Linked DNA regions of Caenorhabditis elegans. The protein of the gene in region 2 purifies or fractionates together with the protein of the main gene of each other region. This does not show direct contact. Each region holds a gene or a part of one and is shown on either strand. Other genes may lie near its edges.

Evidence for each region.
Region 1: the proteins of atp-4 (region 2) and srfb-1 purify together in Caenorhabditis elegans (affinity purification with mass spectrometry, with the first as the bait; one large-scale study listed by BioGRID). This does not show direct contact.
Region 3: the proteins of atp-4 (region 2) and isp-1 fractionate together in Caenorhabditis elegans (co-fractionation; one large-scale study listed by BioGRID). This does not show direct contact.
Region 4: the proteins of atp-4 (region 2) and sdz-27 purify together in Caenorhabditis elegans (affinity purification with mass spectrometry, with the first as the bait; one large-scale study listed by BioGRID). This does not show direct contact.

The regions. Positions count from the first base shown.
Region 1 is NC_003279.8:8,092,634-8,101,262, reverse strand, and holds srfb-1 (Serum response factor-binding protein 1), read right to left. Parts: upstream 5,524-8,629; coding exon 5,011-5,523; intron 4,628-5,010; coding exon 4,476-4,627; intron 4,431-4,475; coding exon 4,148-4,430; intron 4,064-4,147; coding exon 3,908-4,063; intron 3,605-3,907; coding exon 3,482-3,604; intron 3,358-3,481; coding exon 3,108-3,357; intron 3,058-3,107; coding exon 2,897-3,057; 3' UTR 2,819-2,896; downstream 1-2,818. Other genes in the region: rme-8 (J domain-containing protein), read right to left, coding at 6,146-6,261, 6,452-7,035, 7,115-7,405, 7,473-7,926.
Region 2 is NC_003283.11:6,424,383-6,431,415, reverse strand, and holds atp-4 (ATP synthase-coupling factor 6, mitochondrial), read left to right. Parts: upstream 1-4,303; 5' UTR 4,304-4,305; coding exon 4,306-4,548; intron 4,549-4,873; coding exon 4,874-5,020; 3' UTR 5,021-5,170; downstream 5,171-7,033. Other genes in the region: alh-4 (Aldehyde dehydrogenase), read left to right, coding at 1,504-1,662, 1,711-2,192, 2,243-2,375, 2,537-2,634, 2,693-3,009, 3,057-3,186, 3,232-3,370, 3,461-3,490; T05H4.11 (DUF4706 domain-containing protein), read left to right, coding at 5,573-5,668, 5,973-6,061, 6,117-6,211, 6,261-6,345, 6,394-6,474, 6,522-6,708.
Region 3 is NC_003282.8:8,132,219-8,140,264, reverse strand, and holds isp-1 (Cytochrome b-c1 complex subunit Rieske, mitochondrial), read left to right. Parts: upstream 1-4,209; 5' UTR 4,210-4,224; coding exon 4,225-4,266; intron 4,267-4,484; coding exon 4,485-4,541; intron 4,542-4,588; coding exon 4,589-4,706; intron 4,707-4,750; coding exon 4,751-4,894; intron 4,895-4,938; coding exon 4,939-5,000; intron 5,001-5,045; coding exon 5,046-5,301; intron 5,302-5,353; coding exon 5,354-5,430; intron 5,431-6,034; coding exon 6,035-6,109; 3' UTR 6,110-6,249; downstream 6,250-8,046. Other genes in the region: Mitogen-activated protein kinase pmk-3, read right to left, coding at 1-19; islo-1 (Interactor with SLO-1), read right to left, coding at 1,341-1,641, 1,693-1,823, 2,178-2,493, 2,700-2,904, 3,315-3,432, 3,665-3,667; sph-1 (MARVEL domain-containing protein), read left to right, coding at 6,718-6,792, 6,849-6,967, 7,433-7,820, 7,867-7,968.
Region 4 is NC_003282.8:11,183,272-11,190,632, forward strand, and holds sdz-27 (SKN-1 Dependent Zygotic transcript), read left to right. Parts: upstream 1-3,757; 5' UTR 3,758-3,785; coding exon 3,786-3,845; intron 3,846-3,894; coding exon 3,895-4,008; intron 4,009-4,491; coding exon 4,492-4,938; 3' UTR 4,939-4,993; downstream 4,994-7,361. Other genes in the region: prx-14 (Peroxisomal membrane protein PEX14), read left to right, coding at 1-130, 178-460, 512-748; nuaf-3 (NADH dehydrogenase [ubiquinone] 1 alpha subcomplex assembly factor 3), read left to right, coding at 1,025-1,130, 1,711-1,867, 1,916-2,071, 2,117-2,180, 2,229-2,366, 2,417-2,530, 2,575-2,652; fbxb-79 (F-box associated domain-containing protein), read right to left, coding at 5,620-6,240.

The DNA.
Region 1 (8,629 bases), on a different chromosome or scaffold from region 2:
TGATATGATGTGCTCTGATAATTGAATAGGTTCACACGTACTTTCGAGTTGTTAACGAACTTTCACAGATTAGTTCTAACTTCAAAAAAAAAAGAAAATAATAAGCGATAGGAAAAAAATATAGTGCTCTTAAATAAAAAAATACTAATTCAAAAATTACAAATAGGAGGAACAGTTTTTCAGTTCTTGAAAGGACAATACTGGTAGAAACTGTGAGTTAATTACCTTAAAGAGATTCTAAAGTACGTTTAACATGAATCAACTCTGCATGTAGTATCTAAGTTTTCAAAAACAAAAAGTAAACAACGTAATGTTTATGCGCAGTTTCCTTTTTTAATCAATACCGTTTCGGAATATAGAAAAAAGAAACATTATAATATTATTACGCGTTACGAAGACATTTACCCACTATTGCCAGATTGAAAAATACCACAAAATAACTTTAATTTTGAGAACTACGTTTGAACGGAAATACAATTATAAAATGTTGAAGAACTTCGTTTCAAAATGAATTCTACCAAAATTTAAATGTTATCACGTAAATAGCTCAAAACCTTTTGGAAATTTCGAGAATGAGTTTACGAAACTGTTTCAGTACAATTAATTCAGCTTCAACCCCAGCTTATATAACTATTTGCACATGAAACTGTTGGTAAATTCATTAACGGAGAACGGCAGAGTCGTTGAATTCTGAGACACAAGGATCCAACTGAGAACTATGAAAAATCTAGTGATTTGGTGGTCGGAAACTTTCTTGACGGTGGTACATACAAAACCTGAGAGCGAACTACACGTGGCCTCCTTATTTGCATGGTATTATACAATTTCTAGTAATTTCAGATTAAACAAATGAGGAAACAGAAATAAGTAACGATCCTACAATCCGAAGACACATCTCATAGACACTCACATACACACACTCATTCTTCATCAAAGTCTGGCCCTACGGGTTGTTCTCTTCTTGTCTTTCGTCGCGGAGGGCGTGAGGCGGCGAAAGTGCGAGAATGGAACACCGCGAATTGTGGAGAGAATAGAGAACGCAGACAAAAAAGGGGTGGAGCCTATTGTCTATCAGGGTACGGAATTTTAAGATGGGATCGTTTATCATCGGGAAATTATGGGGACTGTTACATTAGCTAGAATACCTGGGAATACTCGAAGAAAAAGTGGATAGTGCATTTTTTTAGAAATCGACGAATTTTAGAGTAAACTCATGGAAAACTGGAAGATTATCAATTTACAAATAGCATATGAGAAAGTGGAACATAACAAAAAATCAGAGAAATTGAAAAATTACAACTAGTCGTTCAATAAATCGAACTAGAATCACCATTCATGTGGATTTCGACAAATGACATAACGACCAACACCAACGTCTGAAAAGGATCTATTTTAGCAATTGTTCGATGGAAATTCGAATTTTAACACTACAACAAAATAACTAAACTAAGTAGTTGCAACTTAAAAAAATCGAAAAAAATCTGCCGAGTTTTCGAGAAACTTTAAAGAAAAAAAACAAGTTTCTTTTTGTAAAACTGTGTGTTGAAACCTATTGGCATCTTTTCTAGAACTTGATTGAAAGCAATTTTGCAAAATCTGCGCATTAATAGGAACCAAAACTGTTTTTCCGAAGAAAACCGATGAAATATGGAATTGTCAGCCTTATCAAGTGCACCGATATTTCGTCAATTATTTTTCTTTCATTTTTAAAATTTACCACCTTTTCGTACTAATTAACGTCAAAATTGTTAATGTTTGGATAAAAAACTGTGCTTTAAATAGAAAAATGGAAAGAGCCGGAGTTTGATTGCTCTGTGAGCCGAGATGCTCCGCGAATATAATAGTAATTTTAGTAGAAAACAGTTCTTCTCTGCCGAAAAACAAGAATTCCTTGATTTTTTTTCCGGTAGCAGTAACTTTTTTTTGGAGGAACGGTTGCAATTTTTAAAAACTAAAAAACCAAAAACTCGCTCACCAAAGTTTAATTCAACTGAAGCAACGCTTTCTTTTAAAAAAAATTAAACGTCGGCAGTAATAAAACTGAATAATCGATTTAAAAACTCAATTTAAGAAATTGAAGGTGTTCAGATTCATGACGTGGCACACCCTTCTTTATTGAAAAATTAAAGCGAAGATGAGGAGACGAAACGACAAAAAAGGGCAGAGAATATGGGCGGTCTCCGAGGCGGCGGCAGCTGCCTTGCAATACGAAATCTTTTTTTTCTATTGGAAAGCAGCTGAAGAAGGAATCAAATGAGTGTTCGATGATGACAACGGAGAGCTAAGACGGGTCAGAAGTTGATAGAAACATGTAGTATTAATAGTGGAAATTCTCCAAATAGGAGTTGTAAAGAATCCTTGAATTATTTTAAAATATTCAATTCCGAAAGGTTCGATTTTTAAAATTAATTTTCGATTATCGTAACTTCACAAGATTTTGGCATGCCATCTTAAAGGCTCACAGATTTATTCAAATATGTCTCGCCGCGCAAAAAAATGTATGGTAGTTTTTTTTTAAATTTCCGGTCTTCATATTCATTTCCTTTGCATTTTTCAATGAAATGACTTAATATTCATCGAATTATTTCATATTCGTTGTTTCCGTTAAAAATTATTTTAAATCAGTTTTCAAAGAAAAAATTGATTAAAAAAAACGGACCATAAACTTTTTTGCGCGCCGAAACCCATCTGAATAAATCCGTGCGCCTTTAAGTAGGCACGTCAAAATCTAGCGAAACTAGGATATTTGGAAATGCGAGTACAGTGTCTATTCACTGATATCTGAATGATAGTATTATCGAACAAAATGGAACAGAAAGAAAAGAAAAAACAGTTCATTTAAAAATTATAACAATAACAAAATAGTTAACAATCAAGGAATAACAACAATAATCGATTATTCTTCTTCATCATCTCCAAAAGTGATTTTCTTTCCACAGGGTTTAGCCGAGGCGAGCTCTTTCTTTTTAAGTTGACTAGCAATCCAGGATGGATGCATTTCACCAGATACTGCACTTTTGCTTGAACCTTTCTTCTTCTCAACCACAGCTTCTGACTCTGAAAATTGTTTCAAATATTTAGAAACACAAAAATAACAATAATCTTACTTTTTTGGGTTCCTTTTTGGAATCTTTTGTCAACTTTTTCAACATTTTCCGACGGCTTCTTTGGTATAATTTTTCTGGGAGCCACTACTCCAGATTTTGGTAAAAAGAAAGAGCTGCTTTCATCATCGTCATTCTCATCTTCTGATACCGGAGCAACAATTTTCGCTGATTTTGGTGCTGTTGTGGAAAATTTCTGTGCTTTTGCAATTTTTCCACCTTTCGATAAATCAACTTTCATGACAAGAGTTTTCTGTAAAAAGTCTGCAGTAGTTTTAAATTTTGATGGTTAGAGTTTCTGAAATGAAAATTGAAAAAATTCAGAAACATTTACTCCGGAAAGGGTAAAAATCTAAAATAGATTTATTGAAAAGTACCTGATCTGATTCATCATCGGAAACTTCATTCTCCTCCACTTTCTTTTCTTCAACTTTTTTAACAATTGGAGCTGACTTTGTTGGCTTCTTTGTACTTTTATTCGACTTTTTGGGGTTTTTCACCTATAAATTCGGAGATAAATAGACCAGACGCAAAAAATACGGTATCTGGTCTCGGACCTTTAATGAGTACTGTGATATTAAATTACTGTTGAATTTTTAACTTTAAAAATAGTTTTTTACATTTTTGAAACTTTAGGAGTTTTTAATTTTTAATTTTAGTTTCATGAAAAATCTTTTCACAAAATTCCGAAGCAACGAAATTGTAAAATTACAGTACTCTTCAAAGGCGTTAATATTTAACAAGAATTGCCTTGTCGAGACCGGGTATCGCAATTTTGGCGCAGAAATCGCAACGAAATCTACCTCTTTAGATTTAAGCTCTTTCTCGAAAATTTGTTTCATTTTCTTCTGATTTTTGACTGTTTCAACTTCTTCATCTTCTTCTTCCACAAGTTTTCGTTTCTTCGGTGCCAAACTTGGCCGATTCTTGTCCTCTTGGACGCCAATGAGTCCGAGTAGCTGAAAATTTTGAGTTTAATTCAAATATAAATCAATAGAGAGCTGTTTGAAACCCGTTAAAAAATATGTGGATATAAAAATTACCAAATTTCTTCTATTCTTTGCAGCCTCCTCTCCAGCTTCTTCTTCATCACTATCCAACATTTCAATATCAGATTGATCGTAGTCTTCCTCGTTTTCTTCGATTTCTTCTTCTTTTTCATTTTCAGAATCTTCATCTTCATTATTCAAATCTTCCAAATTTTCGATATTGAGCTCTTTCTTTTCAGTTGATTTTTTTGACTTTTTCTCTGGTTTATTTGCATATTGTTGACCAAGACGTTGCATAAAAAACGCGGCAGTCTTGTTCCATTCCGTATACTTTTCTCTACAAAATTCAAATTTCATGAGAATAACTTTTTTTTTCATTTACCGAATACTCTGAATTTTTTCGACGATAATTGACTGGCATACGAGCTTGTACATAAGCCTTTCAGCAACTTCTGTTTTTCCATTAATTTTCAGCTCAGCGAGAGATTTCGTGTTCAGGGCAGCGAATTTTGCGACTGAATCCTTGTCGAAAGTCTGAAAAGATTTTTTTTTTTGGAATAATTGATATTTAACAAGCATATTTTTATGCAGACGCGAAAATTTGCGTCAAAAATACGATACCTGGTCTCGACGCGACAAATTTTTGTTAAATTCGAAAAGAAGTGCACTTTTAAAGAGTACTGTAATTTCAAACTTTCATTTCTGCAGAGTCTTCATCGAGTTGTCATAGGTTTTCTCAAGATTTGTTAAAATTTTAATTCTTTTTTTATTATTTGAGTTTTCAATAAGAAAAATAAATGAAAATTCCATAGACCCAAAAGTTTGAAATTACTCAAAGATTTTTCACATTAAGCAAAACATTGTCGTGTCGAGACCGGGTACCGTATTTTTGGTAAAACTTCGCGTGTGTGTAATACCTTTAATCCCAGAATTTCTTCCACAAGTCGAGCAATTTTCCGATCTCGTTCCTCTTTTGATTTCCCATCGACTTTCTGCGATTTTTTCGATTCCAATTGTTTCTTCTGTCTGACGATTCTCGACATTAATTGATTTTTTGCAGTTAGGCACGTGGCACGCAATGCAACTAACTCATTGTTCAATTTTTCAGCAGTCAGAGGAATTTGATCGGTTTTGTCTGTTTTGGAAGACTTTCGAACTCGTTTGGTGACTTTCTTCGGTGTCTTGACTGAAACTTCTCTTGAAGCTTCTCCAGTGACTTCAGAATTCTTGAACTCTTCCGGCGACTTTTCCACCAAATTTGGCATTTCAAATTCAATAATTGGAGCAGCAATTTCAGACATATCGACAACTTTGTAATCCTCCGCCACATCATCTTCGTCTGCTACACGAGCCATTGGCATCTCGAAATCATCTGGAATTTTGGAAGCCGGAGCAGCAGCAGATTTCTTCTTGATGATTTTCTTTTTCATCTGGAAATTGAACTTGAAAAAAAATTAAAAAGTTGTATTTTTTGAGTCACAATTTTCAACATTCTAAAGTCTGGAAAGTTTTGATAAAAATTTGGAAAAAATACCAACAAATTTGAATGTTCTATTTGATAATGAGGAAAGCAATAATTTATATCAAATTTCACAAAAAAAGTTGGTGCGCGAGCAATAATAATTTCTAAAAATATGTATTTTGTCAAAAGTTCACCGTAGACTTGTGTAGGGATCCCAAAATTTCGTGCGCACAAACAATCGAAAGAAAAAAGAACAAAAGTCGAAAAAATCCGCTGAAAATGGGGGAAAAGCACCAGAAGAACAACATTTTCACAAAAAAATCACGGGAAATCAAAAATAATCAAAAGTAGATACGCGACAAGGGGGAACACTTCGAAAAATTATCACATTTTGCGGGAAATTTTAAAAGAGAGGGTTTTGAAAATGAATTTTAATTATTTAAATATATAAATTATTCAGTAAGGAAACTGCTCAAGAATACAAAAGTTCTTGAACAAAGAGAAAAAAAATGAATATGAGAAGATGAAAAGGAGATACAAAAATGTACAAAATTGGAAGGAATTGAAAAATAAATTTTGAGAAGTTCCACTCAAAGTGGTGGTTGGAAATCTCCAGATGTTTGATGCATTGGTGGTGGCTGATTGCTCATTGGTGGTGGATTGAACATTCCTTCTGTTAGATATCCAGCAACACCAGTTGGACCTCCTGGAAATATCATATTTAGAATTTAAACATTCGAAAACCCATCGAAATATGAACAGTGGAGGCAAAAAGTTTATAGTTACGTCATACCACTCTATCCGACCGCATTTTTCAAATTTATTTTGAAACTCCAGGAATGTAGAAACAAACTTTTTTTAAAGTCTATTACTCAATAAGTTACAGTAACCCTTACCTGTAATAGCTTGAGTTCTCGCTTCTGGCAAGAATAAATCATGTCGTTGATCTTTAAACTGTGCCCAGACGGGACTCTTGTCTAAAATCTCAGCAATCTTCTGACCAACTTTCAGATCTAAAATTGCGCTTTTTAATGCGTCAACAATCTCGGCACGAGCAGCTGCTCCGTTTGATACTCCATTCATTGAACTATCCAAAACTTGTAACAAATATGGAACCATTCCACATGAGAGCATTTGTTGAGCCAATTCTCCTGTATTTCTCTTCATGAGACATTTTAAAGCGTGCGCCGATTCTCTCATCAAACTTGGTTGATTCTTCATTGATTTCATTATTCCATCAATACATGGCAGCTGAGAAAGAGCATCACAACAGAATTGATTTTCGCTCAATTCTTGAAGAATTAGAATTGCTGAACGAGACGCAGATGTGTTTTGAAGACACATTGCAGTGCAGAACTGTGGTAGATATCCTTGAGATGGCAATTGATCAGCAGTATTCGGATGATGACGGACCAGTTCAACAAAGGCTTTTGTGACCAAATCGAGTTCTGGAGTTGGACGACTCATCAGTTCAAGCACTCTGGAAATTAGCTTTTGTTACCTATGTTTGTTAGGTAGATAATACAAATTTTAAAGTTCTTATTAAATTTTTGACTCACTTTTCGATGAGCTCTGTTGAGAATAATTTTGGATGTCTGACATTGAATCCTGGATTTTCGACGTATAATCGTACAAAAACACCTCCAACAACAAGTTCACCATTAATACTATCACCATAGGCACAACTCTTGTCAGCCAATGAAGTCGTATTCCATTTGACAGTTGGATCTTTGATGTGTTGTTCATAGAGTTTTCCGACTTCTGTATCAATGATTCCTTTCACTTTTTGACGCGTTACTTCATTCCAAATAAGCTCTGGATTTTCGCTTGATGAATCGAACATTTGAAGGCTGAAAATGTTTATGTTTGTAAATTTTGTTTATAATTGTAAATTTAGGTAGTTTGGAAAAAACTAACGCTGTATTGGGCGAATCTCTCAATGAATCTGCAAATATTTCTGGCAAAAACTTGATAATAAATCGTGTCCATCTTGGCCCAGTAAGCTTATCAGCTTGAAGTTTGGCCAAAAGCTCGGCTGCCTGCAGTCTTTGGCCTTGATCAGAATTTGTCAAACAAAGAATTGATAGAATATACATAAGTCCTCCATGTTCTAACATTTCTTTTCCAATTTGTCCATTTGATGAAAGTGCAATCAGAACATCTAATACTCTTGCTATCATCTTCGGCTGATCACGTAAAAGTGTGAAAAGTGTTGTAGTGACATTACACGTGGCCAAATCAGTTACACATTCCTTATTAGCTGCAGCCAACAGAATGACTTGAAGTGCAGCAATTTGAAGCTTCGGATGTTTTCGACAACGTAGATAAGTGATAAGAAGTGGGAAGTTTCCAATTAGTAGAATTTCAACACCTAAAAAATTATTTTTAATTTTTAGTGAAAATGTTTGAATCAAGGGGAGATAAAGTAGCATTTTTGAGGATCCCCTGTCACATATACCGTATTTCTTCTATTAATATGGCCTCCCTAATAGTCTTGCACTCCCTATTAGTATTGCAAGCGGGAAGACCATCGAAAAATAGTATTGCAGCCATATTAATAGAAGAAATATGGTAGATGAAGATAAAAATTTGGATAAGAACATCTTATGGGTGGGATTTTTTTTTGTTTTTTTTTTGATATTCTGCCAAAAATCTTTTTTGTTGAATTTTCAGAGCGAAACATTTAAAAAGAAAACGTTGTTTATATTTTACAAATTTTATCTTCCTTCTCTTCCATAATCTTCCATAGTTTCAAATTTTTTTCTCAAAGAGATTTAATTCATAATATGATTTTTGAACGTTTCTTTGCCATATAACGTACGCTTTGAGCTAAAATTATTCGTTTTAAAACCAATTCGAATAAATTACGAGATTTTAGGTTTTTCCAGACAATTTATTTTTTGCACCAAAAACCAAAAAAAAAACTTTTCAGAAGAACATTTTTTGATTTCGGTGTTTTTTGTTGCAAAAACAAATTGTAAAAAATCTTTTCGGACAATAAAAACAGATTATTTTACAAAACAGTTATATATTTTATTTTTAGAATGTTTGAGGAAATTCGATTTTTGTTTTTG
Region 2 (7,033 bases):
TCATCTGTCTGTCTCCCTCTTGTAATATTGTTTTCCTATTTTTTTCTCTATTTTTTGTGTCCCAATAAATATAGAGTCAATGATCACATGATGTTGGAGAAATTGTGTGTTCGCCATAGTCATTGTCTTGTCCAAATATCTAACGCTAGCTACACTCTAGCATGCTGCTCACTTCTATCTTTCCCATTCTTCCAACTCCCCCCCATTTCAACAATATGTGGTCGTTTGTGTCAGTGTCCGGTGGACGATGGCTACACTTTTGCCGCAAGAATTGTATCCAATCGGGATCAGGTTCACTTTTAAAATTGAACCCGGTTCGGATGTTTCGCTTTTGATCTCCTAATCCAAAAACCTGAAACTGTATTTTTAAAAACGTTTCTATTATGGATTTAATTCCAAAAATTGAGAAAACTATATTTAAAGAAGAAATTATTGACATGGCCTCCATTCCATTTCTTTCTTATCATACATTTTCCCACAACTGATACCATGTGCAGCCTATTCAAAGGGTCACTTTTTGCTGAAGTGTGTAGAACAAACATGCAATCCGAAATTACAGTTCCACAACTGTTTACTCTACAATTTCCTTTTCACATTTTCTTCCTGTTTCAGTGCCGAGAAATTGTAGCTAGTAGCAAACAAAACAACGCCGTGAAATTTCGTCCTTGAAGTTTCCCTTTCCCTCCCGAGAAACATCCAAGTTCTCGACGGTTATATCGATAATTATCTTCTTTTTGGTCGAACTTTCTGTCTGTTAAAATAATGATAGGTTACGGTTGAAAACATAAATCTAACATTTTTTCGAGATTAGACTTGAGATCAATCTATAAAATGAGTCAAGTCGTATGAAGTTTCATCTACATACTTGACCACAAGTTGATCACTGAATTGAACTGCGCCTAGATCTCACACTATACCCGAAAACAATCTCCACCCTCCCAATTAAATAGAAATAGTGACATCATTCAAACCTAACTAACTTTGTAAAATGTCTATTGTTTTTAGATTTGCGTAAATTCTTATACTGAACGTATTTTAATGTTTCAATGAGTTGTATACATCTAAATTGTTATAGACAAAAACGTTTCCAACAAATCATCATTCCAAATTTCGGCAGTTGATAACTGAAACTTAGATTTCATCAGTTTTCTAGACTTCAATTTCACGAAATATTTTGCTAACGGCGATTAAAATATTTTGGCATTTCTCTATATGATTGGTTACTTGTTTGCGCGACTGTCGTCATGTGATCATCATTATTCTGACCGCTTCCTTCTCGTCTCCGAATATCGTTTTTTTTTCGTTGACTTGCCCCCCTCCGCCTTCTCTGTCCTTCATGAAACATACATCATCTACCAGAAAATTTATTTAGGCAACTGCGTTTGATAATGATAACTAGGCAGTATATAACCCCAGGCTGACCCTTGAAGGTCACGTTGACCATTCTGAAAACGCTCGCTATAAATTTAATTTTCCTTCAATTTCATTGCTGATTTTTCAGAAATGGCATTCACCGAACTAGTGGAAACCCAACGCAAGTACTTCCGTACAGGAGAGACAAAACCAGTCAAATTCAGAAAACAACAACTTCTGAAACTTAAAAAGTTTATCGAGGAGAACCGCGAGGCTTTGTCAGAAGCTGTTTGGAAGGATTTGAGAAGAGTAAGTTAGAATTTTCAAGTATAAAATTCAAATTTCTAACATTTTCAGCGCCATGAATCCACTGAAATTCTAGAAATCGGAATGACCATTCAAGAGATTGACTATTTCTTGAAGAACATTGATGACTGGGTGAAGCCAACCCACGTTGAGAAGACCTTCACAACTGCTCTCGATAAGCCAGTAATTGAGAAAGATCCAAAAGGAGTTGTACTCATCATCTCCCCATGGAACTATCCGGTCTCTATGATCCTTCTCCCAATGGTTCCAGCAATTGCCGCCGGAAATACAGTTGTGATCAAACCATCCGAACTGTCCGAAAATGTTGCCGCAACTTTTGAGAAGCTCATTCCAAAGTATTTCGAGTCAAAATACGTGACTGTCGTGAACGGAGGTATCCCAGAGACTACCGATTTGCTCAAAGAGCGATTCGATCATATTCTATACACCGGATGCCCACCAGTTGCCAAAATTATTATGACAGCAGCTGCAAAGCATTTGACACCAGTCACATTGGAATTGGGAGGCAAATGGTAAGTCTATAGATTGATTTTTGAACAATTTCAAAATTTAATTAATTCAGCCCGGTCGTTGTTGAAGATGATGCTGACATTGATATTTCTGCTAAAAGAATCGCTTGGGGAAAATGGCTGAACTGCGGACAAACTTGTCTGGCACCAGACTACATTCTTGTGAATAGCACTGTGAAGCCGAAGGTCAGTTTTAGTTAAAAAATTAATTTTTTTGTTGATTTTTCCTCCATTTTTGATCAATGATATGGTTGGTGATGACAGAGATACAAACTGTTTGATAAACAATTATTGATATCGCACCCTACAGCTAACTAGACTACAAAAAGAATATCCAAAAATTTCAGCTTGTTGCCGCAATCCGCAAATATGTGAACGAATTTTATGGCGAGGATGTGAAAGCAAGCAAGGATTACGCGAGAATGATCAATCAGAGACATTTCGAGTTAGTTTATTTAACTATTTACAATATTTATATAATTTAATCTGAACTCTTCTTCCAGTCGCATCTCTGGGCTTCTCGATAAAACTCAAGGAGCTGTTCTTATCGGTGGAGAACGTGATCGTGCAGATCTCTACATCCCTCCAACTGTCCTTGACGTTGAGAAATCTGATCCATTCATGCATGATGAGATTTTTGGTCCAGTCCTGCCCATCATCACTGTCCAGTCTTTCTCGGAGTCGCTTGAGTACATTGCTGATGGAGAGAAGCCTCTGGCTGCTTACATTTTCACAAGAAATGAAGCTAAAGTTAAACGCCTTTTGAATGAGACTAGCAGTGGTGGTGTGACTGTTAACGATGTGTTGATGCACATTACTGGTATGCTATTTTAATTTTAAAATATCTGAATAATTTTTGAATTACAGTTGATACTCTCCCGTTCGGAGGAGTAGGTGTCTCTGGAATGGGACGTTACCGTGGAAAGTATGGATTTGACACATTCACCCATGAAAAGTCTGTGCTTCACAGAGGATTCTTCGGAGAATCTCTTTTAGCGTACGTTTTTTCCGAACCTTCGATACCTAATCGCATTAATTTCAGAGCTCGTTACCCGCCACTAAGCCAACAAAAGCTCGATCAAATGCGACGCCTCACGGGAAAACGAATCTCTCTGAATCTGATGAATGTTGCGACTCTTCCTATCGTAATGGCCTCATTCGTTTTTGGAATGCTCTTCCAGGTATGCAGAGGAAAATCAGCTCAATAGATTCTCACACAGTCAGCACCTGCTTCACTAGATTAATTCACAAATCGCAGTACAATTTTTCAGAAATGTTCTAGAAATGTACAGGATGATTAATTACTGCGAAAATACGTGATATTTAGCTTATCATATTCACATATTTTTGTTGCTTTCCAATTTGCCTCACTAACTTATGTCCAAACATCTAACAATAAACTATTCAAATCAGTTATTGTACGGATATTTCCCGTTTGTAACCTCCAAAGGCTCCTTATGTTTCGAAGGTCCTTCACATCCTTTGTTTTTATGCTTCAGCTAACTAGTACCAATTCGATAACAAATAAATACAGAAAAAATAATACTAGTTTCAGTTCATTTTCCGCTTCTCGGCATAAAATCGAGACATGCTGGTGGAGGTGGCAAACGCGAAATGGCGTACAGTAGGCTCGGTGTTTGCGGACTAGTCGTGCGGTCAATGTTCACTCTTACGTACTTTCACACCACTATTCTTCTTCCGTCTCGCCCTATTTTTTAACTTCTTTTTTTTTTCACAAATTCCTAGTCAATTTTTTCACCGGATCTTCTAATCATTCCATAAACTCTAGTCCATAACCAATTCCCGCATGAAAAGTGTCCCCAAATATTAAAAATTCGTGTAGTTTCAATTTAAAGCAATAATTTTATTAATTTTCATTCCCGATATTTTCAGAAATATGCTCGCAATCTTCATTGATCCGCCAAACGTTCATTTTCATTTTTTTTTTAAATTTTCCTCCCCTCTCTTGAGTATGTTTATTTTTGTAAATATTTTAATAAATCATTGTTTTGTGGAATTTTGCGCTTTGTTTGATTTTCCTGGTTTCCGGTGCCTTTTCTTCGATACTTATAAACATCCTTTGAACAGAAAACAATTTCTAAATTTATATTCAGGTATGTTCCGCGCAGTCCAATCAGTCCGTTCTCTTTCGACCACCGCGGCTTGCCGCCAGGACTTGATCCAGCAGACTTTCGTCACCAAGATCCGCGAAATCGCCAAGAACGCCGGTAACCTGGCTAACTCTGATCCAGCCGTTAAGAAGGCTCTCCAGGAAGAGCTCAACAGATTGGCCACCAAGTTCCAGCTCGCCAACGCCGATGTTGTTTCGAAGCTCCCAACTAACTTTGAAGCTGCTAAGGTAATATAAATGAAGACAAACAAACAAAGATTTATTTAAAAAATAAAATTAGCTAAAAAAAATTTCAGTTACAAAAGTATCGCTCGATTGAACAATTTTTAAATGAATTATCGAAGTAAATTAAAGAAACATCCTTATTTTTGTCGATTAATAACCAAAATAGTTTCAAATAATTTTTAAAAAATCAGCTTTTGTTTTTGTAAATATATTTGATAATCTGAGAACCAGAAGTAACCCGATTAATGTATATCTTATAAATTTTAGATTATTAATAGGCTGTTCCAAGTGCTGAGTTAAAAAAAAACATTAAAATGCTCGTTTCCAGGTTGACTCTGCAGTTCAATCCGCTCTTGAAGGACAAACATTGGCTTCGCTTCTTGAAGGAGTCAAGAAGGACCACTCTGAATATGTTGCCTCCCGTGATGCCAAGAAAGCCGAACAAGCCGCCCGTAATGCTGCCCTCAAGCAATAAATTTAAGCTCTCGATTTTGAATGGTGTATTGTTTCTTTTTGTAATAGATCGTCTATAGACCGAATGAACGTTTTTGTTCCTTAATTTTTGAAATTTCTCTCTGTTCTTTTGTAAACTTTGTTGTTTTAGTCACGAAGCTTATTTTTATTATTCTCATTCAAAATTTTTCGATAAAGTGGCTTGTTATCAGCCATTTTAAACTCGTTCAATCAAATCATGGGTTGTACAGTTGTTCTACGAGCAAACATATTCAAACTCTTCCCCAACCCGTGAATACTCTTTTGAACGGCACCCCATTGCCGATTTGGGGTGCACCATTAGGCAGACCTGTCTGTCCGCAAGCCTCCTACGTCATCACACAGACACTAACCCAGCACCATTGCGCAGACGCGACAGACGACCTTTTATTTGCTACTCATATACCACACGATTTCAAATTGCAGGTTTTCGTTCCGCCGAAATGGATTCAAAACTCTAGTCATTTCAAAATTAATAAAAGGTTTGTGTTTTTTTCTCTCACGCATTTTTAAAATTCCATTTCCAATATTTAAGATGGTCGAATTTTCAAAGGAGTCATCGACCAGAGTCTCTGTAAACTCACAACGACAAATATCGCATGTCCAGAAACGAGAGCTCACGAAGCGAAAGGTTCGTTACTGATGTAACAGATAAGATGGGAAGTAGTGTAGGCGGGATTCTAATGGAAGACTGGAAGGTCAACCGTTCGATATGACATCATTGTGACCCCATGATGCTCGTCGGAAGATAGGGATTCTTTTTTTTTTTGCGTATCTGCTACGTGGTTATTATGCGTTGTTCAAATACTTTAACAAGAACAGTTTCTCTATGGCATTCATCTTATGATCTGGTAAGATTTCCATTTAAAGAAACACATTTCCTGAGCAATAAAAGTATGAATAATAACTCATTAATTAATAAACGTATTTTGCAGAGTGTCCGATTTGAAACACAAACTGTGGAGTCAACATCCGAATTTGTTGGTAAAACGAATCAGGAATGGACGTTCGTCGCTGATTGCTTGTATGTTTCAAGCTGTAATTTATTAAAACTATTTTTTAAAATTCCATTTTTCCAGCAATCTCGACAAAGAAACTCGAAGTGAACGAGAACAGGAGCTTCTCTCGCTGTGCAACTTCTTCGATTCGAATGAGAAGGAACTCGAGTTGAGCGGTATTAAATTAAAATTTTAATAATCCAGTTATCAATAAGCGTATTTTAGATGCTTCTGACGAATCGGATGACTCGGTTCCATTCGAATTATTTGCCGAGCAGGGAATGCGAATTGCTTGGACTCAAATCGTTACGTAAGGATTATTTGATGGTTTATGTTGTTTTAAAATTAAATTTTTTAGCTCACCGTCATTGAGCAATCTTCGCTTAGCTAGCATTCTCCGCTTCGATACAAAAAAGAAAATAGTTTCACCCTTCATTGAGTGAGTTTTTCTGATAAAATGCCCGATATTAAAATGAATTATTCTAGAGACGAAAAGAGTCCTCAAGAGTTCTTCTTGGACGACAACGAAGCGGTCGAGAATGCTTTCAAAGGTGTCTTACCATGCACAAATTCTCAAAAAGTGAGCAGGTCACGTCGAGCTTCAAAATCAGAAGAAGAAAACGATTTCGTAACGGCCAAGGGATCCGACTTTTGGAGTGATGTCGAATTTTAAGAAAGACCACGCAGCAGAAGCAACAACTACAATGTTCACAAATCCCAATGCAAAAACTGACCGATTAACGGATTTTATCTACTATCAAGAGCTTTCAACCGTCTTCCAAAGAAGAACATCTATTCGTCTCCCCGCAATTCTATATATAATTTCGTTTTGTCTTATCTCAAATTCTGTTCGTATTTCATTTACTGATCAAATTTACTCTTGTTCTATTGTAAATCATGTCCTTATTCCTAATCTCCAAAATTTTTTAAAAATTAAAGTTACCATTCCACTAATTTTCATCTCTTTCCCTCAACCCATTTCATTCCTTTCGCCGATA
Region 3 (8,046 bases), on a different chromosome or scaffold from region 2:
ACGATGGGACTGACGCCATCTGTAAATTTAAATGGGTTCAAGTTAGGGCTTGAAGTGAAAAAATCAATAACGAAAAGCGTTGTCGGGGGAAATTAGAGGAGTGTCGGGGATTTCAAAATGAAAGTTTTATTGCGAAACACGCCATGTAAACTCGAACACTCAAGCGACCTATATTTTTGCGGAGTGAAGTGTAAAAATTGTGAAACAATGATTTTTTTATTGTTTATGGTCACTACTTTGTTTTCTTTTGGAGGTTTTCGGATTCACTATAACTTTAGGAAATTCGATATTTTAGAAAATATTAGGAATTTTGAATTTATCAACAAAAAAATCAACTCAATCAATGAAGATTAAATAGAAGAATTTCCCATAGTTTTGGCAATTACTAACAATATCTATTTACATTTGAACTGTTAGTAATTGTTCTCTCGCAATTTTTGTAACGCGTACTTAAAGACACATGGATATTTTTGAATTGGGTCTCAAAGAGTCAGATTTAAATGTTATTCGTTTTTGTCTATTTTTGTGAAATTTTCAAAATATTTTTTCATTAATTGTGGAATGGAGGGATCATAAAAAATTCTCAGAACTTTTTCTGATGGCGAGACCCATAAGAGGAATTATGCAAAAAAGGTGCAAAACTACCATGAAATTATGTAAAAGATTCGGGTGCTCAATCAATTGTAATTAATAAAATCGGTGAAATACTTGTGAGCTCAGTTAAATTGAGATGAGCACTACAGTTTGTTTTATATTTTCTTGTTTATTTACTGAGTAGCGTCTCTTTGAATTTCGTAAAAAAGTGTACAGTGTTTGTTCGAATATGAGCAATATTTAGGTTCAAACAAAGTTAATTATAAAGGGTAAATAATATATTTCATTTCAATTTTAAATTATCAGAAAATTCGTCTTTTGTTCAGCGCTCCACTATTATGAAGTTTACCAAAAACAAAATATCTCACCTGTTATTATAATAAAGTTGTAGACTAGACGTTCCTGTATTGATTGATTTTGAGTATATGTTATGATAAAAATACTGGAGAAAACTGAAAAAAGACGGAAGTATAATTATCAGTGACCAAGGAAATTGGAAGAAACAGTGAGGTCAATCAGATATGAGTCAGCAGCGATTGAGACGCAGTGAAAAATGGGAAACGAGAGGAAGACATACAAAGGGCGAAGGTCGAATTTTTTATTTGGTTGATGGAAAATATTATTGTAGATAAATATTTTAAAATATCTACAAATTATTCATCTCCTTTTCGGTTGATCTTTGTGGATACAGAATTTTGAAATTAAAAAAAAACAATATAAATCTGGTTAACATCATAAAACAATGTCTATATTTGACTATTTTCTCTCCTTCTTGATCTTCCTGATCCTTTGCTTCGATTGGAGTTAGTTCGATGTAAAGGTCCCATTGATTTGGATCTTTTTTGACTTGAAGCTTCACTTGATTGTCTTCTACTTGCAACTGACGGCTGCCTTGATCCTAACCGATTTTCCATTATTGAATTCGTGTCAAGGAATCCAGATTGATATCTTCCAACGCTTGTAGCTCTTAGGGTATTATATGGACTTGCTACAAAAATGTTATTCGGAGATCGTCTATGAAGGGAAAGTGTGGAACATCCAGGAATTCTGAAATTATAGATTTACAGAATCTTGTTCCGGTTTGAATGAAGTTCTTACACTGGTGGATACAGTTTCTTTTCATCGTGTGGCTTAACTACATTAGACATTGCGTGTCGATTCTCAAGAACTGGGTACGCAGGTGGAGGTAGAGGTTGATATGGATCTTTCTCAAAGATCGGAGGTAGCGGCTGTAAACGTGTAACAACTAAAATGGGTACATTTTGATTTTGAATTGATACGCATTATTACCTACATTCTTCGTTCTAGTGAACTGTATCTAAGCCTTGTAAGGTTTCAAACACATTGCTGTTTCGGTTAATTTGGCAATTTACCAAAACTATGCCATTTTCAGAAATCTAAAATGTTTTAATAGTTTTTTTTAAATTATGGTACGATCATTTTGAGTTTGTTTAGACGTTAATTTGTTAGCTTTAATTGTTTATATTACTTTCATGAAATTTTCAAAGGTGTAGTCGCAACTTTTACAAGGACATGTGGGTTTCTAATTGAATTTGAATTTTCAATTAATCAAAAAGACTTACCACATAATGTGTTGTAATAGTCGTAAGCCTAGCAGGATCATTGTGCTTCTTTGTGTGGTGTAACGAGAGATCACAGAGCTTTGTTGTGCATAAAAAGTAGATTAATGAAATTATCAAAAACGAACATCCGAGTCCAAATAAAATAGGACCCGCAATTTGAATTGGTGGTGGTCGTATTCTTTGTTCGTATGGCCAAGTCCAGAATGGTGAAGTATAAAGGTATTTATATCCAAGAAGTGACATTAGTAGTCCTCCAATTAGGAGAAAAACGCCGAATGCTGTACAACAAATCAATGATGACGAGCCACGAAATTTTCTTTAAAAAATAATGCTTTTTTCAGGGTTTTTTTTTAAATTTTTGATAAAGTAACTTGATGTATATTTTCTGCGTCTCTGTTGAATTTTCGCGTTGAATATGATGTATTAGGACATACTCCATTAAATTATAATCTACGAGTTATTTAGTTGAGCTATTCAACCCTCATATTTCCAGCTTACAGTTTCAATTATCAAAAAACTAACGATGTTCTATATGGAAAAAATCCAAATGTTGCTGGATACAATATATCCCATCCTTTTGGATAATAATAGAAATATGGATCACGTTGAGCCATTGGTCCAAAATGAAGAACTCTTTGATTTCCAGTCCATTGTTGAGGATCAATCTCACTTGCACCAGCTTGAACCATTTCGTCTTTCTTATCCTTTGCAGTTACGTGAAGCTTGTCTTTAATATTTCGAAAATATTTATGAGTTTTTAGAATCAAATTGACATGAAAACCCCTTATATTTAATACAACAACTCTATATTCTGTGCTACATTCAGTACATCGTGGTGAGACCCATAAAGTCAATTTAAATTACTACTTCTCAGTATTGCTTTGATGGTTATAATTACTGTAGCTGGTATCGATTTATGGGCCGCTTGTACCATATTCTTTGAATTTTATTTTAATTGTAATTTTTAAAAATTTTGTAAGATGTCCGAAGATTTTCAACGACCTGTTAATCGATACCATATTACAGTAATTCGTCTTCGTGGCAAGACCTTTGTGTGTAAAATATAGGAAAAATCATCATCTTTAGACGTCTACGTAATATCCTTTTTTTAAAGCAAATTTCCACACAAAAACCCACTCTGAGCTCTCCGCTTCCGCTTTTGATGTGGTCGTTCAGCTTTGGATCCGAAGAATAAATGTGTGCGGACGCGCTCTTGATTCGACGGTGCCGCGCCGCGTCCTCTTTTACTTCCCATCTGAAACCAATCAGGTCCGGAAGAAGGAAAGGCTAAACTTTTCGGCACGACTCGATTGGACCTTGATTACAACTCTTTGAGCTCGTGCCGCAGAGCAGTATCAAACAGCCACATCTTTTCTCTCAATTTATTTTTCTAAATAGTTTGGTGTGTCAACTGGAGTGTTGGTTGTGGCAACAGATGTTTTCGTGGATTTCCTCATCGTGTGGATCATCTTTTATCAAACACTTACCATCTTGAATAATTATTTGAATAAGAAAATCTAGAACTGAATATAAATTGTATTATTGAGCAGGAATAAAAATAAAAGCTGGACGACTTTCTGTATTTTTCATCCGATTCACAGCTGGTGGCGGATATCTTGTCGCCGAGTGTTGTGCGGGCAAAACGGCCTCTAGTACCCGTACCCGCGTCATTATTTTGAAATTGAGATGCTGCTGTCAACGATTATTACAAACGAGAAGGAATCTCTCGTCTGAGCACACGGAAAAGTCTCTATGCATGTTCGCCCTATTGACAACGATGCGGAGGGCGACGCGTGCCGAAAATTTCTCTGTGTCTCTTCATACAGACAGTCCGCCCGTTGAGTTTGTCCCAATTTTAGCCTTTTTTCAGCTTTTAATTCTTTAAAATTCCAAATTTCGGCAAAATTCATCAATTTGAAAACGTTTTATTCAGTTGTTCATTGCCTTGATCTGTTAATTTAGCCGTTCTCATATTTTAAAAATTGTTTTATTTTTTTCAAAAACTTAAAAATATTTAAAATAATTATTTTAGGCATCAACTGGGGCAATGGCTTCTCTTGCTAGATCTGGAGGTTTTGCAGTCAAAGTGGTAAGTATTTTTTGAACAAATATGAAGAAAAACACTCCAATAATCTATTCAATTCGAGAAATAATCATATTTTGCGAGAAACGCGTTCGAAAATTTTGTTTAAAATGTATTTGTTTAAACTATTCTCGTTCCAAAACACTGGACGGTGTCGAAATGATTAAGATATCGATTACAGTTCTAAAATTTTGTCCAATAGTTTATAAATAGTTTTCTTTCAGATCAGCGGATCCCAGCAACATGTAAACTTTGTTGCCGCAACACCAGCCGCCGATAATGTAAGTATTTAAAGTTGCAGAATATTATTTTATTGTCTAGTATCCAGGTCGCTGCTTTCCGCGATGTTCCAGCTGAGTTCTCCACGGCTGAAGCTCGTCAAGCCGCTGTTAGTCACAGCACCGGAGGTGTCTTCACCAATGGACTTGCTGTCAAGGGAATCAATGGTATTTGAAATTGAATTTAATATATTAATTCATTAATTTTTAAGTCACCTCTCGCCGTTTGGCTCACACTGATGTGACATTCCCCGATATGTCAAACTATCGTCGTGATTCTACAAAGAACACTCAAGTGCCAGCCCGTGACACCGAGGATCAACGTCGTGCTCTTCCAACTGCTCTGTATTATGGAGGTTCGAATTATTTTTTATTCGGTCTAAACATTGTTTTATTACAGCTGGAGGAGTTCTATCTTTGTGGGCCGGAAAGGAAGTTGTACAGACTCTTGTTTCTTACAAAGTATGTTGAATTTCCATTACACCGTTTTTAAATTAATTTTTCCAGGCTATGGCAGCTGATCAACGTGCCTTGGCTTCGATCGAAATCAACATGGCTGATATTCCAGAAGGAAAAACAAAGACATTCGAATGGCGTGGAAAGCCAGTCTTCGTCAAACATCGTACCAAGGCTGAGATTGCCAAGGAAAAGGCCGTCCCTGTCGCCGATCTCCGTCATCCACAACATGACGACGAACGTGTGCAGAAAGATGAATGGTCCGTTGTCATTGGAGTGTGCACCCATCTTGGATGTGTCCCAATTGGTATGCAGTCTTTTTTCTCCTGAATTTTTGAAATCATATTTTGAATTTTCAGCCGATGCTGGAGATTACGGAGGTTATTACTGCCCTTGTCACGGATCTCACTACGACGCTTCTGGACGTATTAGAAAGGTAAGACATTTATTTGCTAAATGTAGTACAATCTGAAAAATTCAAATTTTATAATTTTTTTTCATAATTTATTGAAGAAAAGTTCGCGATTTGATATAATTAATGATAAATTGTAATTTTCTCTTAAAATTTTATAAAAAGAGAGATAATTTAAACAAAAACAAGAAGATATCTTCTGGAACGAACGAAAGTTCAGTCCTATCCTAACCGTTATTACGGTAAATTTTGGTATTTCTTAGTAAAGCTTTTGATAATTTTAAATAAATACCTAGTTTTTACAGTTTCTTTTTTTTTATTAAAAAAAACGGAATAAAAGAGTAGTAAATAAGTTCGCTTTTTTTGATGAAAATCAGTTTTTTTCCGAACGTAGGAAAAGTAATTAGACAATTCTTTTTTGAATTCCTAATTATTTACGTGAAAATCTTTATCATAAATTAAGCTCTCAGAATGTTGAAAATTTAAAAAAAGTTAAAACTTCAATAGCGGAAAAAAGTGTTTATATTTCTAAATTTGACATTAAAAATGTTTTCAAGTCACCCTAACGTTGATAAAATTCACAAAAATGTAAAGGTGATCTTTTTTTCAAAATCTTCATTTTTTCCAGGGACCAGCTCCATTGAATCTTCACGTACCAGCATACTCGTTCAAGGATGCCACCATCGTCATTGGATCGAGCTAAATATTCAGATTTTTTTGCAAAAGTTTCCCCGTCCCCACTTTGAAAACTCGCGTCTCCTAATCGAATGTGTGGTTTTCTCCTGTGAAAGTAGTTGTTCCCTTCTTTCTACGTCGTATTCTTGGCAGATAAAGTTTATTTTTCGTCCTATTTAGTGTTTGCCTGTTTTTATTATTTCCCCGTTTTTATCCATTTTTTCTAGGATCCCGAATGCACTCCTGTTCGAAATTCATTGCAGAATGAATAAACGTAATTTAAGAGGTTCTCTAGATGAGGCGGAGCATAACCAATACAAATAACCCACTTGGCAAATAGAACAGTCATGGCATTCTCTGCGTCTCCTAAACATCGCTGTCCTCGAAAAAATCGGCACTTGATCCACAGAGGAGTCACAGTCGAGTAAATTGTCTCGTTTCTCTATGTTTCTACAGTAACATGGTATCTCTTGTAATAAATAAGTTTTCTCGTTATCAAAAAGAGAACATGACACAGCAAGCTCTCTTTCTCTCTCTCCTTTTACGCACTTTTGTTGTTATTTTTCGATATTTCATCAGTTTTTGATTTTATTGATCGATTCCTACGAATTACGTCTCAATTTTTCAGACGAAAAAATGCCTTCGATTCCTGCACAATTAAATATATCTGCATTCAAATTCCCATTAGGATTTATAAGAATTATTCAATTTGTAAGGAAAACTTTTGAATTTCTTTTGAGAGAAAATTCATTTGTGATTCTTTTCAGGTTTTCATAATCATTGCGATAGCCGCTATTAACAGTTGGGGATTGGAATTGAATTACCACTGTGTTGATGGAACGGGTAATATAACGAGAAATAGTACACAAAAAGTCTACACATTTTCGTAAGTTTCACGAATTGAATATGTAATTTCAAAAGCTTAATTGAACTATTAAATTTTAGAAAATACCGCACCCGGTCGACACGACAATGCTGTGTCACATACAAATGGGTGTGCGCCTTTAAAGAGTACTGTAATTTCAAACTTTTGTTGCTGAGGATTTTTTATCGATTTTTCGATAAAATTATATTTATGTATAAAAAAATTAAAGATAAAAATAGAAACACTAAAATTGGAACAAAATTAAGGAAAACTACGAAAAATCTACGAAAATTTCATAGCAACGAAAGTTTGGAATTACAGTACTCTTTTAGAAGGCGCACACCTGTTTTTACTTAAAACTAAAATTCGTAGTGTCAAGACCGGGTACCGTATTTTAGTTTTTTCAAAATTATTTCATGAAAGCCAAATATAAATATGAAAGTTAATCAACAATGCGAAGTTTCCAACTAAAACCTCAAATTCCAGTCTCTCAAAAGTAAAGCTGACCGGATGCGACAATCAAACCCGCACATTCTGGTCTGGAGATGACAGTGCCAGTGGAAGTGCCGGATTCTTTTATTTCGTTAATGTAACCGCCCTGATCTATGTAATTTTCATCTGCTTCGTTTATGTCATATTCTGGAATATCTATCAAACTGAAAAACGAATCCCATTAGTTGATCTTGGTGCAACTGCACTTTTATTTATCCTTTTCTTCTTCTGTAGTTCGATTTGGTGGGCTGGAGCGAACACAATCGGAAATGCCACGTCAGACGAGCGATTGACTGAATTATTTGGACAGGGGTCGTGGAAAGGACAAAATGCTCAATTTTTGAGTAGAGATGTTAATAATGGAAAATTGGCTATTTCGGTGGTAAGTTCATATTAAATAATCTTTCTTTTCAAGAAACATTTTCCAGCTTGCCAATTGGGTATGTGTTCTTTGTTTCGCCTTTAACTGTTGGTTCATCTGGAAGGAAGTTGTTCCACGGGATTCATCCAATCCAAGTGATATCGCTTAAATGTACATTATAAGAATTATTTTTCCTACTTTTTCCTCCTATTTTGTGCCTTACTCTTCATCATTTTGAATCACTTCC
Region 4 (7,361 bases), on a different chromosome or scaffold from region 2:
TCAGTGAGGCTGAAATCTTGGAAGCACGAGCATCTATTCCGCCGGAGCAGTTGAGAAGTCAAATTGGAACAGAGAATATGATTCCAATAGGAGGTCATCCGCAAATGATGATTGCTCCAAAACAGAATGGGTTTGTAAATGAAATTATTGATTTCAAAATATCACCGCAAATTTCAGAATAGTATCATTTGCACAATCAGCTGTGGTACTTGGATCGATTTCATATGCTGGATATCGATTCGTCCGATCATATGTTCTGCCCAGATTCTTCGATATTCCTGATCCAGCAACAGAGGAAATTCGTCAACTGCAATCACAAGTCGACGATCTTCAGAATTCAATAAAATTCATAATGGATTCTGTTTCGCAAACAACACAACAGCTTGCAACACAACAATCAGAAATTTCAAGAGCCCTCTACTCAGTTGCTAACAGAGATGCTGATTTGAATCGGGTTGAGGTGAATTCTAGAAGATGGTTTTTGTAATGCTAATATTTCAATAATTTTCAGAGCGGAATTTCCACGATAAAAAGTTTACTTCTCAGTCAACATAATTTTGCTCCAATCGTAACACCTAGTGTTACTTCATCAATTCCATCATGGCAGCAGAGTGCAACTCCAACTTCTGCAACATCAATCACCACAACTACAACTTCTGAAGCAGCTTCCGGATATGCAACTCCTCCAGCCAATTTCAAAGAATCGTCATTAGCTGACGAGTTGGCAGATATTGAAAATATTGAATAGAATTTCAGAAATCTATGTAAATATATAATTAAATTAATCATTTTTAATGCACTCCTCGAAAGCCATTCCCTTTTTCTGTGATTTCTCATCAATTCACTGTGCCTTTTCATTTTTCATGTGCCACATTCCAAAGATTGTTAATTTCATCTGTGATATTACGAAAGAAAATCATATCGACATCTGAACGTTTCATTTCACAAAATGGTTGAGAAACCAGATATAAATTATCAGAATAAAAATGTGTTGCATGAAATAAACATTTGTTATTTAGGCATAATGAACAAATCGTTGATTGCTCTCGGAGCACAGACAGCTCGTCGATTTCTGAGCAGTTCATCAAAAAATACGATAGGAGGAGGAGATGCGAATCGGGCAGACACTGGTAATTTTAGGTTTTTTGACTAATAAAAAATGTATTTATTTAGCATCCGTTACTTTTCGTTTATTCCGTTTTGGATTCGGCAAAAATTTGTAAACACTCGATTTCTGATATTTTTCCAATTCATCAAACCTGCAGTCACGAAGCTATTTATACGGTACTCGGTCTCGACACGAAAACTTTTTTTAATGCAAAAAAGTACACTCCTTTAAATAATGAGTGCTGTAAATTCCCACTCTCATTTCTAAGAATTTTATTCCATTTTTCGTAGGTTTTCTCAAGATTTGTTAAAATTTATGTGTTTTTATTGTAAAATTTAAGTTTTTCATAAATTAATGTGTATATCTTTATAGAAAAACTATGAAAAATTGATAAAAATTCAACATCATGATGATCAACGAAAGTTTGAAACTACAGTAATCTTTAAAGGTGCACACCCTCTTGCACTCAACAAGAATTTGCCGTGTCGAGACCGGTAAGAATCGCAAAGTTTCGTGTATGGGTAATACCACTAGCTACAATTTTATTATTCATTATAAATTGAAAAAAATAGTTCTAAAAAACAATATATTTAACTTGACAGGTGTACTCGATGGTTATCATATAAATCCACTTGAAGAGTCTGACATGACAGATCGTAGTCGAATTTCAATGTTATCTACGGAAATGCTCGAAGCAAAACAAATTGGAGTTCGTGGACTTTCATGCTATGGATTTCGACTTCTCGATGGAACATTTTTGTGAGTTCTCAAAATTGAGAGTTTTTGCTTTCAAAAATAACTTTTCAGATATGGCCCAATCGCCTTGTTTCCAAAGACGGCTCTTTCGTGGCGTGTTCCAACTCCAGAAGACATCACTCCACGATCACTTGCTCTTTTTGCTGCTCTTGAACCAAAAATTGACATTCTTGTGTTAGGAGTTGGGGATAAAAAGAATATTGACAAGTATGAGCTAGAAAAAATATTTTTATTTAAAAAACAATTTTTCAGAGTTCGAGCCAGTGTAGCACCATTCCTTCGTGAACATAAAATTGGATTAGAGATTATGGATACTGTAATTTTACAATTTTGCTAACGTTTTCACAATTAATTTCTCTTTCAGGAGGACGCGATCGCAACATTCAATTTTCTGAATGCCGAGGGGCGATATGTAGGAGCTGCTCTTTATCCTCCAGATGATATGGTTGTTACTGATAAGGAATACGGTAGAGCTCTGGCTCTTTTGAAAGGATGGGACACGGTTGGCTACTCAAAAGCCCGGATATTTTTTATTTCAAAATGTGTTTTCAGGTTGAAGAAAATCCATTGCTCACTGGTCTTTCTGATACAATAAACGGGGCTGAGGATTTGGTTAAGCGATTGTGGAGTGGAGATGAAAAGAGTTGGCAATCAGCAAGACAAAAAGTATGATCAAACTGAATGGATCTATAAATCTATTTTAATTTCAGGTACTTGAGTCACCATCTGAACGAGAAGAACGAATGCAACAAGAAATGAATGATAAAGAAAAGAAACGAATTGAATAATATTGGAATTTGTTTTTTTTTTTTAGAAATCTTAGCAACTATATTTCGTTTTTGTTGATTTTATTAAATAAAAATATAAAATTTATGAATCGAATCTTCCTGGAATTCAGAAAATCAAAGCCAGCACATTTCGAAATTTCTAGTTTCTACCGTAAGGATGACCGAAAGCTCAAATAAAAAATCATGTTTCCGAGATCGTCCTTGAGAAATAGTTCTCTCTTTTTCGAAAACACATATGTTGTCACTAGAATGACCTCACATCCCAGATGCCAGTGTACAGAGAGACGGAAAAGCTGCAGAATTGTCATAGCCTGAAAAACAAAATAGCAACATTTTTCAAAGATAGAAGGTTACAAAAATGTATTTTGACGTGCATAACATTTAAAAAAAAAGTGAATTCCGTATTTTTCTGATTAAAATTTATTTGATGCAAATTAATTAGGGTGTTCGTTCGCACGCGGTGTCAGACTGTCAAATAACGGTATGGTTTACGAAAAATGGTATGATCTACAAACAATGCGGGATTTTTTCGCCCAGAAAAGTGTGACGTCAGCACGCTTTTAACCGTGCGACGCTGGATGAAAACTCTGCTTCAATTCCCGCATTTATTGTAGATCATACCGTTATGGGACAGTCTGACACCACGTGGCATTCGCCTTGTGAATTGAAAAGCGCACGCTTTTGTTTAAAACAGATATTAATTTTTGGAATCTTCCTGTATATTGTTAGTCCGTTTCAGGTATGTTTTTGAAAGAGTAGAAGACGCACATCTGGGAGGATTATTTAAATGTTTTATAGATCAGATTTAAAGATCATACTGGAGAAAGCAGAGCATATGTAATTCAACTCTGACTTTTAGATCAGTTTTACAATTAGTTGTAAACTCTCCCTCCTCTCTGCCTCTTTATCTTATCTAGCTTACAATTAGAGCCTTTTGTTTACATTATACTGGACGTATCGGTCGGCACATTGACCTTGGAAGGGGTTGTAAACAGTTGACCATAACCAGCGTCGCCCCGTCCACTACAGTATCACCGGGAAACCCCGCCCATTTTCATCTTGCTGTTGAAGATTCAAGACAGAGATTTCATTCTTCATTCAGTCGGCACAGAATCTCACTGTTCTGGTTAATCATGAAACTCCATTTGCTCACTGTTCTGCTCTCGCTTGTTCTACTTTCTGTCAATGCCAAGGTTTGTACACAAAATTGTTTGAAATCTCTTTTCAAATGTATTATTTCAGCCATCAAAGGAGAAAGACTTCCAATTTTCTGATGGAAACTTGGGTACTCCGATGGAAAAATATTTTGAACAAATGGGATTCGAGCAAAAAGAGAGAAATGAGCAAATTATAAATGTAAGTTGAAATTGAAAGACCCTAACCTACTAGATAATTAGATCAATGCATAGAGCAAACGTATGAATGGTATAAATAGGTTTATCTGAAATAAAAAATAATCACGGAAAATTAAAAAAAAAACCCTAAAACACAGGCTCCGTTTATATGTTTGGTTTTTCGTGGTTTGAATTAAAATTTCTTGAACTTATTGTATATTTTTTCATTTGCAAAGCATCATTATTGATAAATTGATATGATTTTTAAAGGAAACTAGTTATTAAATGAAACTGTAGATGAGATTACGGATGTGATGAATCCAGAAATCGGATGAAATGCTATTAGAATAATTACTTTCTTATTTTTGATCACAGTTTTTTCATATCTTTCATACTTCTACGTTTCCATTCTTCAAAGGGGCAAAAGTCACAAGAAGAAGTTTCTGCAAGGATGCTGTCAATTTTGTACCGTAAAGTGTAAAGTGTCCCATAAAAATGTTTACAGAAACCATCGAGTGAAGATGAATCATCAACAGCAACCATTCCAAACACTGACCATCATCAATTAACTTGGATTCCAAATGATGCATACCTTTTCATTGGTAAAACTCGGTACTACTTCAGAGAAAACTGGATTAAGCTTCCACCAATCGGAATGAAAGTTACTGAAGTTGATTCAATTGTTCAAATGCCAGAAATGAACCATCAAGAAGTTGAAGAATTGAGAAGAGAAACCGAGAAAAAAGAAGGATATGTGGATCCCAAAGAGTTTGAAAAGATCCATGATACCATCAAATTTTCGTTCACCATGGACACATTCACTTACTATTTCCATAAGTACTACACGGAAATCCTCCTTGTTACAGCCGTGATTGTAATCATCTGCATTGCTGTTGGATTGCATCATTATAAGAAGAAAGTTGAAGAAAAGGATCAACTTCATTTTGCATAAATTCGTTTATTGATAAATTTGAAAATTGTAATTGAATAAAAATAAATAAAATGTCAAGTTCTTTGGAATGTACGTTCCGCGATGTAATAATGGTATTAATAATATAGTTTGACTAGGACTGATCTGGACAATGATGGCATGTTTTAATAACACTATTGACTTCAAACCATAAAATTGATTTTGAAGCAAGATTCCCATAAAATTCATAATCCAGCTATTTATATAACATCTTCGTGAATACAATAGCAGCAAAAATTGCAGATATCTGTCGTCGAATGGCCGTTAGACTATATCCAAGCGGTATTCGAAGAAACGGAAAAAATATTAAATCAAAATGAGAGGGTTCTGAGAAAAATCTTTCAGACCGTTTGTTTTTCAGTTAAAAATGTTTATTTGCAGTTAGTTTTTTGTAGGGGCCTTTCTGGGAGAACCTTTGAAATAATATAATATATGTCTCATTAGGAAGTCCGGGATTAAACCCAAATACTTCCCTTGTCCGTTTTACGATCGAATATTTCGAACCACAAGTTTATTGATATTTCCAACAAAAAAACAATAGTTCGTCAAGAAGAACAAAACATCAAGTACGTGAATTAAAGGATAAAATTACAAGAATGAAATCGATTTTTAAAAAAAGTACCAGAAATGCCATACATATTATGATTCCGTGATCAAAACAGTTTAATCCCACACGTACAGTATCGTACTCCAAGCCGGCTCTTCAGGTAGAGTAATAGTGGCGTTGGTTCCATCGATCCTTTGAATATCCAAACCTCCTTCAACTTCAACTTCTTTATCATACCATTTATACGTATCTTGTATAAAAACAAGTTTCCTCTCGACCGGTGCCAATTGATATTTAATACCATTCAAGGCGATTGGGATAAAATCATTTTTATTAAAACTGAGAGGAAACATCATTATTAACTGCTTCAGTTGTTCGTTCGATCCATGAATCCAATGCTTTAGAAATGTACATATATCTTTTGGGGGTACTTGATAACCCATACATATTGTGGAACTATTTGAAGCCAACAAGTCGTTTATCTTCAATGGGATGTACTCCCATATCTTTATAAACGTGAAGTTTGAGACGATAACGGATTGGAATCTTTTGGGCTCTAGAAAATTTTGGATTATATACACTTCTTCAAATTGATGTGAATATAGTTCCAACATTTGTTTATGGAACTCGATGTTTTTAATTGAAAATGAAAGGAATAATTTCCTAATACTGAAATTTTTGAACTGTTCAACGATTGGTTGAATAATCATAGTTGCATTCACAGAAGGATAGTTCATGAAGACCTGATAGATGGAACAATTCAAGAATATGATCTATAAATCTTGTGAGTTGCATTCTTATTATTAATTTCCAATATCCTTCTGAGTCACGCGTGAGAATCTGACCCAAATGAATAAAATCCATTTCGTTTGTTTTTTGTGTATTTCTGTTAGACTCATCAGCAGAAAACCGAAAAATTAATTTTTCAGAAAATTGAAGTTTCTAAGGCAAATTGATATTGACGGCTCCAAATCCACACAGACAAATAGCATATTCATATTCAATGCCACAACACAACGTTTTGCGGCTTTTGAAGTGAAAGATATAATCACGCTGAAAATGAATTATTATTTTACAAATTATAAATAATAAAAACGCATTTCTGCCAAGCAGCCTCTAATAAATGCCGAGTGTACAGACTCCGCCCCTTTTTCGCGTTTTTTTGCGTTTTTTTTTGGCTTGCGAAAAAATGTCCCCTTTTGTTTTCGTTAATAACTCTAGAGCCGTGTGACTTCATGTTCTAATATTTGAAATCCTACTAGAAATATTTTGCCCCACGGTGGAGCAGAAAACGGCACTAAGTTTGGAGCAAAATTGAGCCCAGGACGGCTTTCCCCAGTTTGAAAAAATTTTTTATGGGATTGAACTTTTTTGACGAAGTTTTTCATTGGGCAGAAGAGGTAGATGTCACAAGGTTGAATGAAAGAAGTCGCTCCAGGTGGAATCGTACGAACGTGGACCGTGTGTCCATATAGCGCAGCGTCTTGTACGTCCCTTTCATTTTTCCATGCTGGCCATGAGTCAAGGAGAAGAACGGTTTCCTTCGGCATCGCAGGATCGCACACTGCACTTTCAACCCAATCTCTCATTAAATCTTTGGTCATAATGTGACTGGAGTTGGCACGAACGATGAGGTTGGACGGAGAACAGTGACCTTTTTTGGGAAACTTGCCTCCTTTTTCCTGTAATATATTACTTTTTGAAAAAGTTAAAGTTGAGAAGACTGCAATGAATGATACGCATTTTCTACCTGCAAAACGATGTAGAGTTTTGGAGCGAGCTTTCCCGTCACACTCAACATTGGGAGAATGGTATACGAGTGAGATAAGGCATCTTTTGATTGGACAAGTCTCTCAAC